Linked DNA regions of Drosophila melanogaster. The protein of the gene in region 1 purifies or fractionates together with the protein of each later gene. This does not show direct contact. Each region holds a gene or a part of one and is shown in the gene's direction. Other genes may lie near its edges. The genes, in order: CYLD and LUBEL.

Region 1 (6,481 bases):
ACTATCAAAAGCAAGGCGATAAAATGACGAGGAATAAACTGAAATATAAGCCATCTGGTGCTCGAAGAAAAAATGTGAGTCCCAATTATGCGGATGAGAGTACGGAAAGTAGGCATTATCATACATTCGAAGAGATCCACGAGCATATCGATGAGGACGATGGTCAATACCAGGCATCCGAACAGGTCGGAACACAAGCGATTCTGCACGAACATGTCGAGCACTCGAGTAAGAAGGATGCGAAGCGGATGAAGGTGAAAATCAAGCATCATCATCACCACCATCATCACAACCACATAAAGGAGCTGATCAAAACAGTACCACAACCGTATCCCGTGGAAAAGGTCGTCCATGTGCCCATTGAGAAAATTGTCGAGAAGATCGTACATGTGCCCAAGCTGGTGAATGTTACAGTTGAGAAAATAGTGCACGTGCCTATCGAAAAGATAGTGGAAAAGGTGATTCACATCCCAAAGCCAGTCCAAGTGCCCAAACCATATGTGGTCGAAAAGATAATTGAGAAAATAGTCCACGTACCGAAACCGTATCCAGTGCTCCGGACTGTTCCGTATCCGGTCGAAATAAAGGTGCCAGTTCATCTCGAGAAGAAGGTACCAGTGCCCTATAAGGTTGAGGTAGAACGAAAGGTTCCCGTTTACATTCGTTCCAGCGAGCCATATAAGTTCGAGTCATCATCACTCTACGAAAGTTATCCACGCGGCGAGGAGTTCAAATTTAACATGGAAATGGATCATCCACCGCCCAGAGAACACGAACCATCCAGCCTACCATCCTCAAACTACTACAACAGGATATACAAATCTAGGGAATTGGATCATCCTCCGAGGATGGAGGACTATCAAAGCTCCGTGCCCACACAGTTAAAGCACGATTACGCAACGAAAACTAATCTCGATCAGCAGTTTAAAAACGAGTACGTGACGAAAAGTAGTATTGATCCTCAATTTAAGCACGATTACGTGACGAAAAGTAGTATTGATCCTCAATTTAAGCACGATTACGTGACGAAAAGTAGTATTGATCCTCAATTTAAGCACGATTACGTAACAAAAAGTAGTTTTGATTCGCAGTATAACCAGGAATACGTACCCAAAACTAGCATTGAATCGACTTCTCCTGGACGGGATGGGGTTTCCCTGAAACTCGTCGGTCCCCCTACTCCTTTCAATATCACGGGAAAGGATTTGGAGACCGCCAACTCTGCTCCAGACTTTGTCAATAGCTCCAACGTAGACCTAAGTCCACAGGAATCGGCTAATGCCTATCGCGGTATGCCATTCTCCATACCATTTCAGTTTGTACAACTCCAACCAATGGCCTTTCAAAGTCCTATACATGTGGAACTGCCAATCCAATCCGCTTCAGCAGAAGGTGCTCAAAAGTGATAATCTAATCAAATGTTTAGCGTAAATAATCCTATTCAGAGAATTATTATATACCTGACAGACTTTTAAAAGACTTTTTCCCCACAATAAAAAAAATGCTAAAAAATAAGTTGCTTAATATAAAATATAATGCATATTAGAATATATAAAATTGTTTATTTTGTTGTTGTTAAAAGTTTATGATAAAATTCATAAGCAATAAAACATACTAAGCCTAACAAGCAACGACAAACAAATCGCAATATACTGTTACATATTCTATATAATAAAACCGTTTTTAAACCGTTATTACTTTGTTTTTTTGACTGTATTGTATTTTTTTGGTTCAAGATTACCCCCAACAATTGTCGATTGCGGTAAAATCGATAACGATATCCAGAATTCATTCCAATCGCATTCTAAAAGACACAAATTTTATAAATACTAAACAAAAATCCAGGATATAAACACCTTTTTATTTGTTAGTTCAATTTATGTGTGTTTGTATTAAAACTCAAACAGGGTTGCGCTAAAAACTTAATTGGTCATTTGGTATTTCAGCGAACAGCAATATTATTAAACCAATGTAGTCGCGATTGTTGTGTGTCATTGTTTTTATCAATTAGGGAAAAGTTGCTAACGAATTGTGTTTGTTATGCATGTATTTCCTGTTACTTGTTCTGTGCAGTCCTCCTTGGCAAATAAATATTTAATGCAAGATTGAAATTAGCGTAAAAACAATGGAATGTTTATTGAACTACTGTTACAGCAACCTGATGTCTCTTACATACTTACGTGCATATGTACATATGTATGTAAGCGACTGCAAACTAAGCAGTTACAAACAGAATCCGTCACATCGAGTATCATTGATTATTTCGTTTAACAGTTTTAACTCGACTGTAGAATACTCTCTGCCAAATATATAGCATGCTCTTTAAAATTTTTCATAAAAAAACACTTATGACCAATACATTTTGTATATCCTTTTTATTTAATTACTAATACAAATGTTATTATAGCCTTTAGTTGGAAATAATGAATTCCAAATCCGATTATGAAGCAGAAAAAGAAAAAAAGCTGACCATAACAAATAGATTCGGGGACTCCCTGGAAAACTATGAACTATCCAACGAGAGCGAGCACAAGACCCATGTATACCCGAAAAAGATTCCTAACAGAAAAAACGGAATTTTAAAGTACGTAGTAAAACTGTTTCAATTCATTTAAAGCTAATAATGAGCGATTTTTAGAAACACCGATGCCAACCATAGTGCCGTCGATAATCAACATCTTGAGGATGTGGATTTGGCAGACATTTTGGGCACAAATTGGCCAAAACGAGCGGGACCAGCTGCAATGATCTTAAACAACAAAAGTAAAACGGATCCTAGTAATTCTGTAGACTTAATTTTAAAACCAGCCTCACCCATATTAAAAATAGAGCCGGAGGAACCTTTACGTAAGTTTATTTTACTGTCATTTCTTCAAAAAGAAAAGAAATATATCATTATTAAGAACTAAGGAAGGAATCTGTTCCGACCTGCTACATTCTTGGTCAGGTTTACTAGCTCTCTTAATCTTAATCCTGTTTGTCCGTCCATATAAATAACGAGATCTCAGGAACTGTAAAAGCTAGTTCTAGTTAGTGGAATTACTCAAGCAGTCTTCTGTACTGCTTGCAAAAGACATTCAAATTCTGCCTGCTACATCACTCCTTGTGCTGGTTGTCTATTTTCAAGTGTATCGCACTTCTTTTAGCTGAGTAAACAGGTATGTAATAGTCGCTTCTTTCGAATATAGCGTTCACTGTTATTGAATCTTTTATTCTCGATACTTTACAGTTGTTGTAAGACTTGTATTCACTTTGCTTCCTTGCAAAAGACAACGAAATGAAAACGTCTATTTATTTATAGAACGCCGGCCAAATACATAACGACACATACATATATTCTATTTACGTTCACGTAAAACGGCAGTTCTCTGAGTTGATATATGCAGTTTGTCGAGGAGTTTTATTTGTTCTGCACTTTATCAAAGTTCTCAATTGCTGAAAAAAAAAAAAACATAAAAATTAGTAAAGAAATTAAAATTGTGCTGTGCGTCTTTCAAAAATGAATATATACCAACAAAAATTGTCTTCTGACTCGGATATCCACAATAATATTCCATTAACAGTGCTAGAATTTTATTCACCAAATTTATTGCCCGAAGAACTTGGTATGATCTATTATGAAATCGTTCCGCTTTTTTTAATTTGATTTTCTAAGAAATTAAAATTTATTTTAATTTTATTCTTGTCCTAGGTTTTACAATCGCTGATTATCAACCTCTGATTGAAATACCTGGAACCGAGCTAGCGATTGGTTCCCTCGTCGAAGTCTCGAATCCTGGAGTATGTGAAGATCTATATGGCGTTGTGAGATGGATAGGTATACCGCCTGGCCCGCAAAAAAACGTACTCGTCGGAATCGAGGTAGAAGACGAATCCAACTTGAAAAATGTAGTGGCATCGGATGGGAGACACAATGGCGTACGGTATGTCATACTTTTAAACATTTAAAACACATAAATAGGTACTCATACAAGAAAAACTCTTAACTGAAAAATATCTTCTGTGTTGTGTTTTGTTTTAGCTTATTTACTTGCCATGATGGTCGAGCTATTTTTGTACCAGCCAACAGATGCACCGCTGACCGGCGATTTGCTGATGTAGATAATAGCATTTCTGCAAACAGAGTTTCTAGTAATCACGCAAAGAAATTTGGCGTCGCTGACTGTCCTGCCATATATGGCTCGATACCACCATTACGTAAGATAACAATAAACATTTAATAAAGGAAAGGAGTTCATGCAGCTATTTGTTTTCCAGAAATACACAATTCCGATGAGCTTGCTAGCATATGTGGAAAGTTCAAAGGAATACAAGGACACCATAATTCCTGCTACCTTGATGCAACTCTATTTTCCATGTTCACTTTCACCAGTGTTTTCGATTCAATTCTGTACAGACGTCCGGGCCCACAAGTAAGTTATTCGATTTGTCTGCCCAGCTCACCAATAACAAATTATTTTATTTTCAACAGGATATTCGAAATTACAGTGAGGTTCAAAAGGTTCTGCGCGATGAGATCGTCAATCCATTGCGAAAAAACGTTTTCGTTCGATCCGATCGTGTGATGAAACTGCGCGAGCTCCTAGATCAGCTAAGTTCGGTCAGCGGTCTCACCTGCGAGGAAAAGGATCCTGAAGAGTTCCTAAATAGTTTGCTCTCACAAATAATGCGAGTTGAACCGTTTCTAAAGGTGCTTATTGTACTCATTATTGCATAGATTTTTATACTAAATAATTTACATGTTTTTTTTTTTTTTTTTTTTTTGTAGCTAAGCTCGGGGCAAGATTCTTATTTTTACCAACTCTTTGTGGAGAAGGATGAGAAGTTAACATTACCGAGTGTGCAACAATTGTTTGAGCAAAGCTTTCACTCATCGGATATAAAACTAAAGGAGGTTCCTTCTTGTTTCATCATTCAAATGCCTCGTTTCGGAAAGAACTACAAGATGTATCCAAGGATATTGCCATCGCAGGTTCTTGATGTCACAGACATAATTGAAAATTGTAGGTGTTCAACAATATAACAATTTGCATTTCGAATCTTAACAAAATTCAACTTGCAGCTCCTCGACAGTGCTCACTTTGTGGCAAACTAGCTGAATACGAGTGCCGGGATTGCTTTGGCAGCTTGCAGGCTGGATCAGGACTGGAATGCACCGCCTTTTGTCCAAAATGTCTCAAGACATTTCACAGTCACATCAAAAGGTCAGCTATCTTCATAGATAAATGAATGAAAACCAATTAAAAACCTATCTTTCAGAACGAATCATGTGTCGAAGAAGATTTATAGTCCGAAGGAATTTAAAATCATGGCCGAGCACATGGTTGTCCCGCGATTGTACATGGAGTTATTTGCAGTCGTTTGCATAGAAACATCTCACTACGTGGCATTTGTCAAGTCTGGATCCGGACCAGATGCTCCATGGTGTTTCTTCGATTCAATGGCTGATCGAAAAGGCAAGCAAAATCTTAGTTTTAACCTAACAAGTTTCTTATACTTACGCAAATGTTATTTCAGGCGAACAGAATGGATACAATATACCTGAAATTACGTGTGTTCCAGAATTAACACAGTGGCTCTCGGAAGAAGGCGCACGATCTATAAATGAAACTTCAACGAACGATAAAGTATTACCTGAACACGCCAAGCGTATTTTTTGCGATGCCTATATGTGTCTGTACCAAAGCACAGATATAATGATGTACCATTAGAGCAAATTTATCAATAAATTAAATGAATGCAATAAAATTTTTGTAAAAATCACATGTGAAATGGATTTTGTGCCTATTAATGGTTATTGGTTTGTTGAAAAATATGTTTTATGATATTAATATGGGTAGGCTTTACATATATAACAGGAAAAAATAAAGATAGGTGGTTTTCTATAACTAATATACCAAGTAGCTTATATTTTTTTTACAAAAAGTTTGTAACAATTAGGAAGTGCTTTTTGTTAGGAGAAGTTTTCAAGGTGACTCCAGAAACAGGACTGAACCATCTAGAGAACTACGGATCACTAGACCATGAAAGGCAGTTCATATTCCGGATATATATGGATGTATGTATACACGGGAGTACATACATACATATAAATCTTGAAGTGCCCACCATTGGTCGACGCAAAACGTCGGCGATTGCGATTGGTGGATTTGGAGGGAGGATATCCAGATGTTGTTCACTCGACGGCGCACATTCACTAAACAAGTGAAAAAGTTTTTCAGTTACTTGCCAGACATCAAAGACGAGTTTTACGTGCGACGCACTATCTGCGAAAATGTCGATCTTAAGCCGCGAATTTGATTTGAATTTAATTACGTTAAATTAGAAAATGTTTAAGAATTCCGTTGCCTTGACGTGCGAATACTCAACCATGTATTATAACTCAATTTATAATACTTCCAACATGTTCGACATGAAACGTAAATGTTTAAATCATTCTTCTTACTTCGCTGTTATTTAAATAAAATTGGGACAGTGATTT
Region 2 (5,195 bases), 3.5 Mb from region 1:
TCATGAAAAAGAAACGCAACAAGTAATCAGTTCCGTATAACAACGTAAAATGTTTAACAACAAATAGCTGAGAATGATATATATTCGAGAATTAATGATATTCACACACGCGACGGCGTCTCGCAGTCAAAATGTTCTATGCCGCTCGAAAACGATGTATTTATAAAACAACGCGAAAATGCTGAAAATAGGAAAGAGATGCGACTGATCGAGGATTGAGGGGATCACCAGGGGGAAACCGTACCAGACGAGACCAGAGGAGCACATAGATCTGCGTTGACTTCCTCCTACTCGGGCGACGACTGGGGACCGCGGACTGCAGTAAAAGTGCTGTTTAGAATCTGATTGAGATTTCAGTTCGCTGGGAGACGATCGTCGAACGAGACCGTAGCTGAATTTTCATGTCGCGCTGTGGCTAGATATCAGGAAAATATATATATCCCTATATATATATATATATATATATATATATATATATATATATATATATTCATGTGCTACCAGCTGGCAGTGGCAGTTTTGAGTGCGGCAAGACGCGTCAAGTGAAATCGAATTATGTAAGTGACCTCTGATTTCGCGGATATCCAACCGTTCATGGTCGATCGAATCCATTACGAAAGTTCAAAAGCCAATTTAAAATCACACCGCAATTAAATCGATCTCAAGTGTTCTAAATATAAAACTCAGCTAATTTTAAACGCGGAGAACGCTCTCCATGGGAAAGTTCAAGGCATTGGCCGGGATAAACAATCAAAGCGTAAAATAAAGTATACAAAATTAAATCAAATTTTTTAAGCTAATTTGCCAATTTGAAATAATGAAAAACTGTGAACTAAAAAAAAAAACGCAAATATAGGCAAGCCAAAGAAATGTTTAAAAATAGTTCCCACCGTTCGTTCTCCTATAAAAATAAAACTTTTTCCCTCGCCGCGTGAGTCTGTGTCTGTGAGTCAGCGTTGCGTTTGCCTCTTGCCAGGCCACTTGCCACTCGAAGTCGCCGCACGGAGCAGGCCGATCTTCTGGGCGGGATTGAGGTGGCACCGGGCCATGCCCCTCCCACCACTGCAGGCGGCTTTCATAAATATTGCTGCACAGTGTGACACAATTTCGGGGCAAATGTATGGAGTGGCTGCGGATGGTTTCAAAAATAGCGCAACAGACACGGGAGTGCAGGCCCAGCGAACACGTTGCGTATACGCAATGCGAGAGAACAGTGTGGCTTGATTTTTGCTATGCTGGCTGAGGCGTCGCGACTCCGAAATTTATGGATAAATTTTATGGCTCGTTACGCACTTAACTAGTGCGTGGAAAATATGCCAGAGCTGCTGGATTAATATATGCTCTAAAAGATATTATTGAGATATAAAACATATTCAATAAACGGGAAATTGTCTCAAAGTATCAGGAATATAAAATGTAGTAAGGAAAACTTTGAAGTGCAGATATGTATATTAAAAAGTTTAATTAACATTCAATCTTAACTTACAAGAATATGCAAGAGATAAATGATTCCTTGGTATCATAGATACACATTTCATAAAACATGAAGAAACATAGATATCTAATAAGTTAATTATATATGAAATATTTAGTTATATACATATAACTTTTACCGGTGCGTTGCCCTTTGAGTTGAAAAGTTTGATGCCTTGGACGCAATTATAGTAAACTTAAAATATATACTAAAGTCAGCATTTGAAATACCTTTACTAATGGAATTATTATGTTGTTTAGGCCATTATTTAATTTAAACTATTTGGCAACGATTTGGCCACCTGCGTCATTACCAAATGCATATTCGCTCAGCTTTTAGTCAATATTTTCCCTCTCTCTGTTAGTTTTATTCGCTCGCTTTTATTTTCAAGCATTTACATGAAATACTCTTCTATTCGAAACTTTTGAGAACTATTTTCAAATTCGAATTCTTCTCCCTAGTCTAATCTCTTTTGCAATTTTCTTGGCATCTCAGCCACTTAGCCGCGTTGACAGAATGAGTCGATTGAGTCACAAAACAGCACTTCCCTCTTTCGCATGATTTCATAAATAAACAAGACCGAAAATGTTATGCCAAAATATATACATTTTTCAATTTTTGTTTTCTATGCACCGAAAGATATTTTCGACTACATTTAGCGTTTTTATTCGCGATCGAACTGTGGCAGCGTTTAGTTTTGTGCACGGCATCCACGAAACTGCATTTTGGTCATTGGCTTCGGAATTTGGGTGAGCCAGCTAAAAATATGCATTCATAATTCGCATTTTCTGGCACTTTGCTTAATTGAATTTGAAGTCGTTTGAAGTGGCTGCGGTTGGGCGAAAATATGGCACAGGGTATTTGCGATCTATAAATAATTATAATAATATTAATATTTTGCTGCTTACGTATTTCGATGAAATAGAAAACCAATCAAGCGCAAAAAGACGATTAAGTGACGGCAAAACCCAGACGAAAAAATCGACCAAGATGACGACCCACCAGTTGCTAAACAAGAATGTTCGCACCATGCCCTCCTGGGTGGTAAGCCAATATCCAGTTTGCCAGTCAATATCCAATTGCACTAATTACCCATTTCAGATGGAGGCAAATGACCGCATTGGGCCCAAACCGCCACCCACGCCACCAAACGGTGTGGCTGGTGGTCTTCCCAAGGCGCCTGCTCTGCCGCCCAAGGCGAAGAGCACTCCCGAGCCGGACTACGAGATCATCGAATTCTCCAGCCAGCAGTACTCCAACGAACCGATGAAGACCACAGTGATCAGAACCAAGACACCAGGTGGGCAACCTTTTTATATATTCCACTTATTTAAAATACTACCAGAGATAATTATCACTTGCAGATAACAAACTAAAGTGCACCTTGTGCGGTTCCCAGAATCCCTGGGTAACCTGTGCCGAGTGCGCCGGCCAAATCTTTTGCGCCTCCTGCGACGACATGTTCCACAAGCATCCCAAACGTAAGCAGCACATGAGAAAGGTAAGTTCTCCCGATCCATTATGAATTTGAACTTAAGAACTTCGTTTTGCAGGCTGTGGAGCAGGGCACACCGCCGATTCCGCCAAAGGCACAGGCCGGTGGTGGGGCACCACCACCAGTGGCACCTCCACGACGCAGCAAACGAGGCCTTTTGACACCGTTTCTGGGCCGCAAGGATCAGGTACGCCACTGCACGATCTCCTAGACCCGTAAGAAAGGCTCCTTCATGGGCTACACGTAGTACCAAGTTTGTAAACTTCAATTTGAATGCTTCAATAAAAGAGTCCTTACAACCAGAACGCCCGACCAAAATTGTAGAAACAGCGATCCAGACATACTTTTTCAATTGTTACCCGAATACCCATACGAAATGGCACCCAACCCGACTCTTTTCCAGATGCTGCCGCCGCCCTCGCCCACGCCCTCGCACAAGTCGCTGGGCGGCTGGCGGGGATCGCTCGGTGGCGGGGCCACGCCCCCAGTGCCACCAATTGCCACCAGCTCTGCCAACCAGATGAACAACCGACCACTGCCCGATCCACCGCGCAGCGAGGGCGGGGGATCTTCCAGATCGGGCACCCCCAAGTCCGTGTTCGACACCATCCAGCGACCGCCGTCGGTGCAGCTGGAGAAGATCAAGAGCAAGGCCAGCGCCACGCTGGACCGCATGGCCATTCTGCAGCAGCGGTACCGCCAACAGAAGGCTCGCCAGGATCTGAGCGCCAACAGCGAACAGGTGAGTGACCCGTTGACCCCGAATCACAATCGTACGAGTCCCCTCATCACTGAGTGTATCGTATTGTCTTTGCTCGGCGAAAATTGTGTCAAGGATCAGTTATAATTGTAAATGAAATGTTAATTTATTAATCATTGATCCTTGATAGTATTTGATCCTTGCACTTCGTATCGTATCGTCTCGTCTCGTTTCGTCATGTGTCGTTTCTCCCTTTCCTCTCTCTCTCTCTCTTTCTTTTTCCGTTTCTCGTTGGTCATTTCCCAAGCGCAGCATTTGTCGAATGAAGCCGGCTTCGAGCACTGGTCAAACATTTCACCATCGCCCTCGCATTTTCGTTCCGGCAGCATGTCATCCGGCCTGAACTCATCCCATTTCGATCTCTCGGATGACTCACAATTTCACAATTCCTTGCTGCTCCAACAACGACAGGCGGCCGGCGCCCAGCGGCGACAGATGAGCACATCGGTGTTCAATCTCAACTCGAATCCACGTCGACCACTGTCCGAGGCCCAAAACGGAGGTGCCTGGCTCGCCAATCAGCGCATCCAGCAGGTGAGTTAGAGTTTCATGCTCCCTTAGAAACTAAGATACCATCCCGCTTGCAGGCCCAATCCCTGGCGCAGCTAAACTGCGCTGGATGTCAACAGAGTCAGCAGCATCCTGGCTGGGCACAGCATCCGCACCAAGCACTTCCTCAGCACCAGCATCCCGATCAGTGGTCACAGTTCGGCTCCCAACAGCAATTCAACAACTCCAATCTGTCCCTGAACGTTGGACCGGGTTACATGTCGCAGCAACATCATCCACACTATCCGCCACCAGTGTTTATGACCCAGCGTGGTATGATGCCCAATGTGTATCCAGGAGCACCAGGCTATCCCATGATGCATCCAGGTAAAATGAGGCACTATTAGTTATATTTTAATTTACATATTGCACTTTAAATGCGCAGGTGTCATGGGAATGCCACCTTCAGCTGCCTCCAGAGCTGCATCCCGTTCCCGGTACGCTGCATCACCAACACCCAGCCGCAAATCGATGTCCTTGCGTCGCAAGCGCAATAGCTACGTGGATGACGAACTTACGGATGACGAGGACTCCGACCAGGATGACCGCAGATCTTTGGTGTCCAATCGCTCGGGCATGACTAGTGCCTCGCGCTCCCAGCATCACCAAAACCATATCCAGCCCCGCCAAAGGCGCCTGTCCAGTGCCTCCCAACTCATAGCCAGCGATGAATTGGACGGCGATCAGGTGCATCACAAGATGCGGAATCGTCGGGGATCCATTGCCAAGTCCGTGCAGAGTGAGTGGCTACCGGAGCGACGGGAAAATGAGGGAACCCTTACCAGAAACAAAACAGCAACGGACTCGGCCAGAACCAGTCGCATTTACTCCGATCTGGAGTCTGAGGGATCGGGTGCTCGGGCCTTGGTTCAAGCTAAAATTCAGCAGAAGCTCCAAGAAGCCGATCAGCACAAATC

Evidence for each region.
Region 2: the proteins of CYLD (region 1) and LUBEL purify together in Drosophila melanogaster (affinity purification with western blotting, with the first as the bait; one study listed by BioGRID). This does not show direct contact.

What each region holds. Positions count from the first base shown.
Region 1 is NT_033779.5:10,295,147-10,301,627, reverse strand, and holds CYLD (cylindromatosis), read left to right. Parts: upstream 1-1,780; 5' UTR 1,781-1,881; intron 1,882-2,407; 5' UTR 2,408-2,423; coding exon 2,424-2,584; intron 2,585-2,638; coding exon 2,639-2,847; intron 2,848-3,214; exon of another isoform or gene 3,215-3,499; coding exon of another isoform or gene 3,500-3,605; exon of another isoform or gene 3,606-3,650; intron 3,651-3,691; coding exon 3,692-3,923; intron 3,924-4,021; coding exon 4,022-4,197; intron 4,198-4,257; coding exon 4,258-4,412; intron 4,413-4,471; coding exon 4,472-4,690; intron 4,691-4,768; coding exon 4,769-5,003; intron 5,004-5,062; coding exon 5,063-5,204; intron 5,205-5,259; coding exon 5,260-5,456; intron 5,457-5,517; coding exon 5,518-5,711; 3' UTR 5,712-5,769; downstream 5,770-6,481. Other genes in the region: CG13138 (uncharacterized protein), read left to right, coding at 1-1,406; hand, read left to right, coding at 6,329-6,419.
Region 2 is NT_033779.5:6,767,914-6,773,108, reverse strand, and holds the start of LUBEL (linear ubiquitin E3 ligase), read left to right. Parts: upstream 1-2,140; 5' UTR 2,141-2,223; intron 2,224-2,399; 5' UTR 2,400-2,464; coding exon 2,465-2,518; intron 2,519-2,575; coding exon 2,576-2,774; intron 2,775-2,838; coding exon 2,839-2,975; intron 2,976-3,027; coding exon 3,028-3,156; coding exon of another isoform or gene 3,157-3,180; exon of another isoform or gene 3,181-3,272; intron 3,273-3,372; coding exon 3,373-3,711; intron 3,712-3,981; coding exon 3,982-4,263; intron 4,264-4,316; coding exon 4,317-4,605; intron 4,606-4,663; coding exon 4,664-5,195.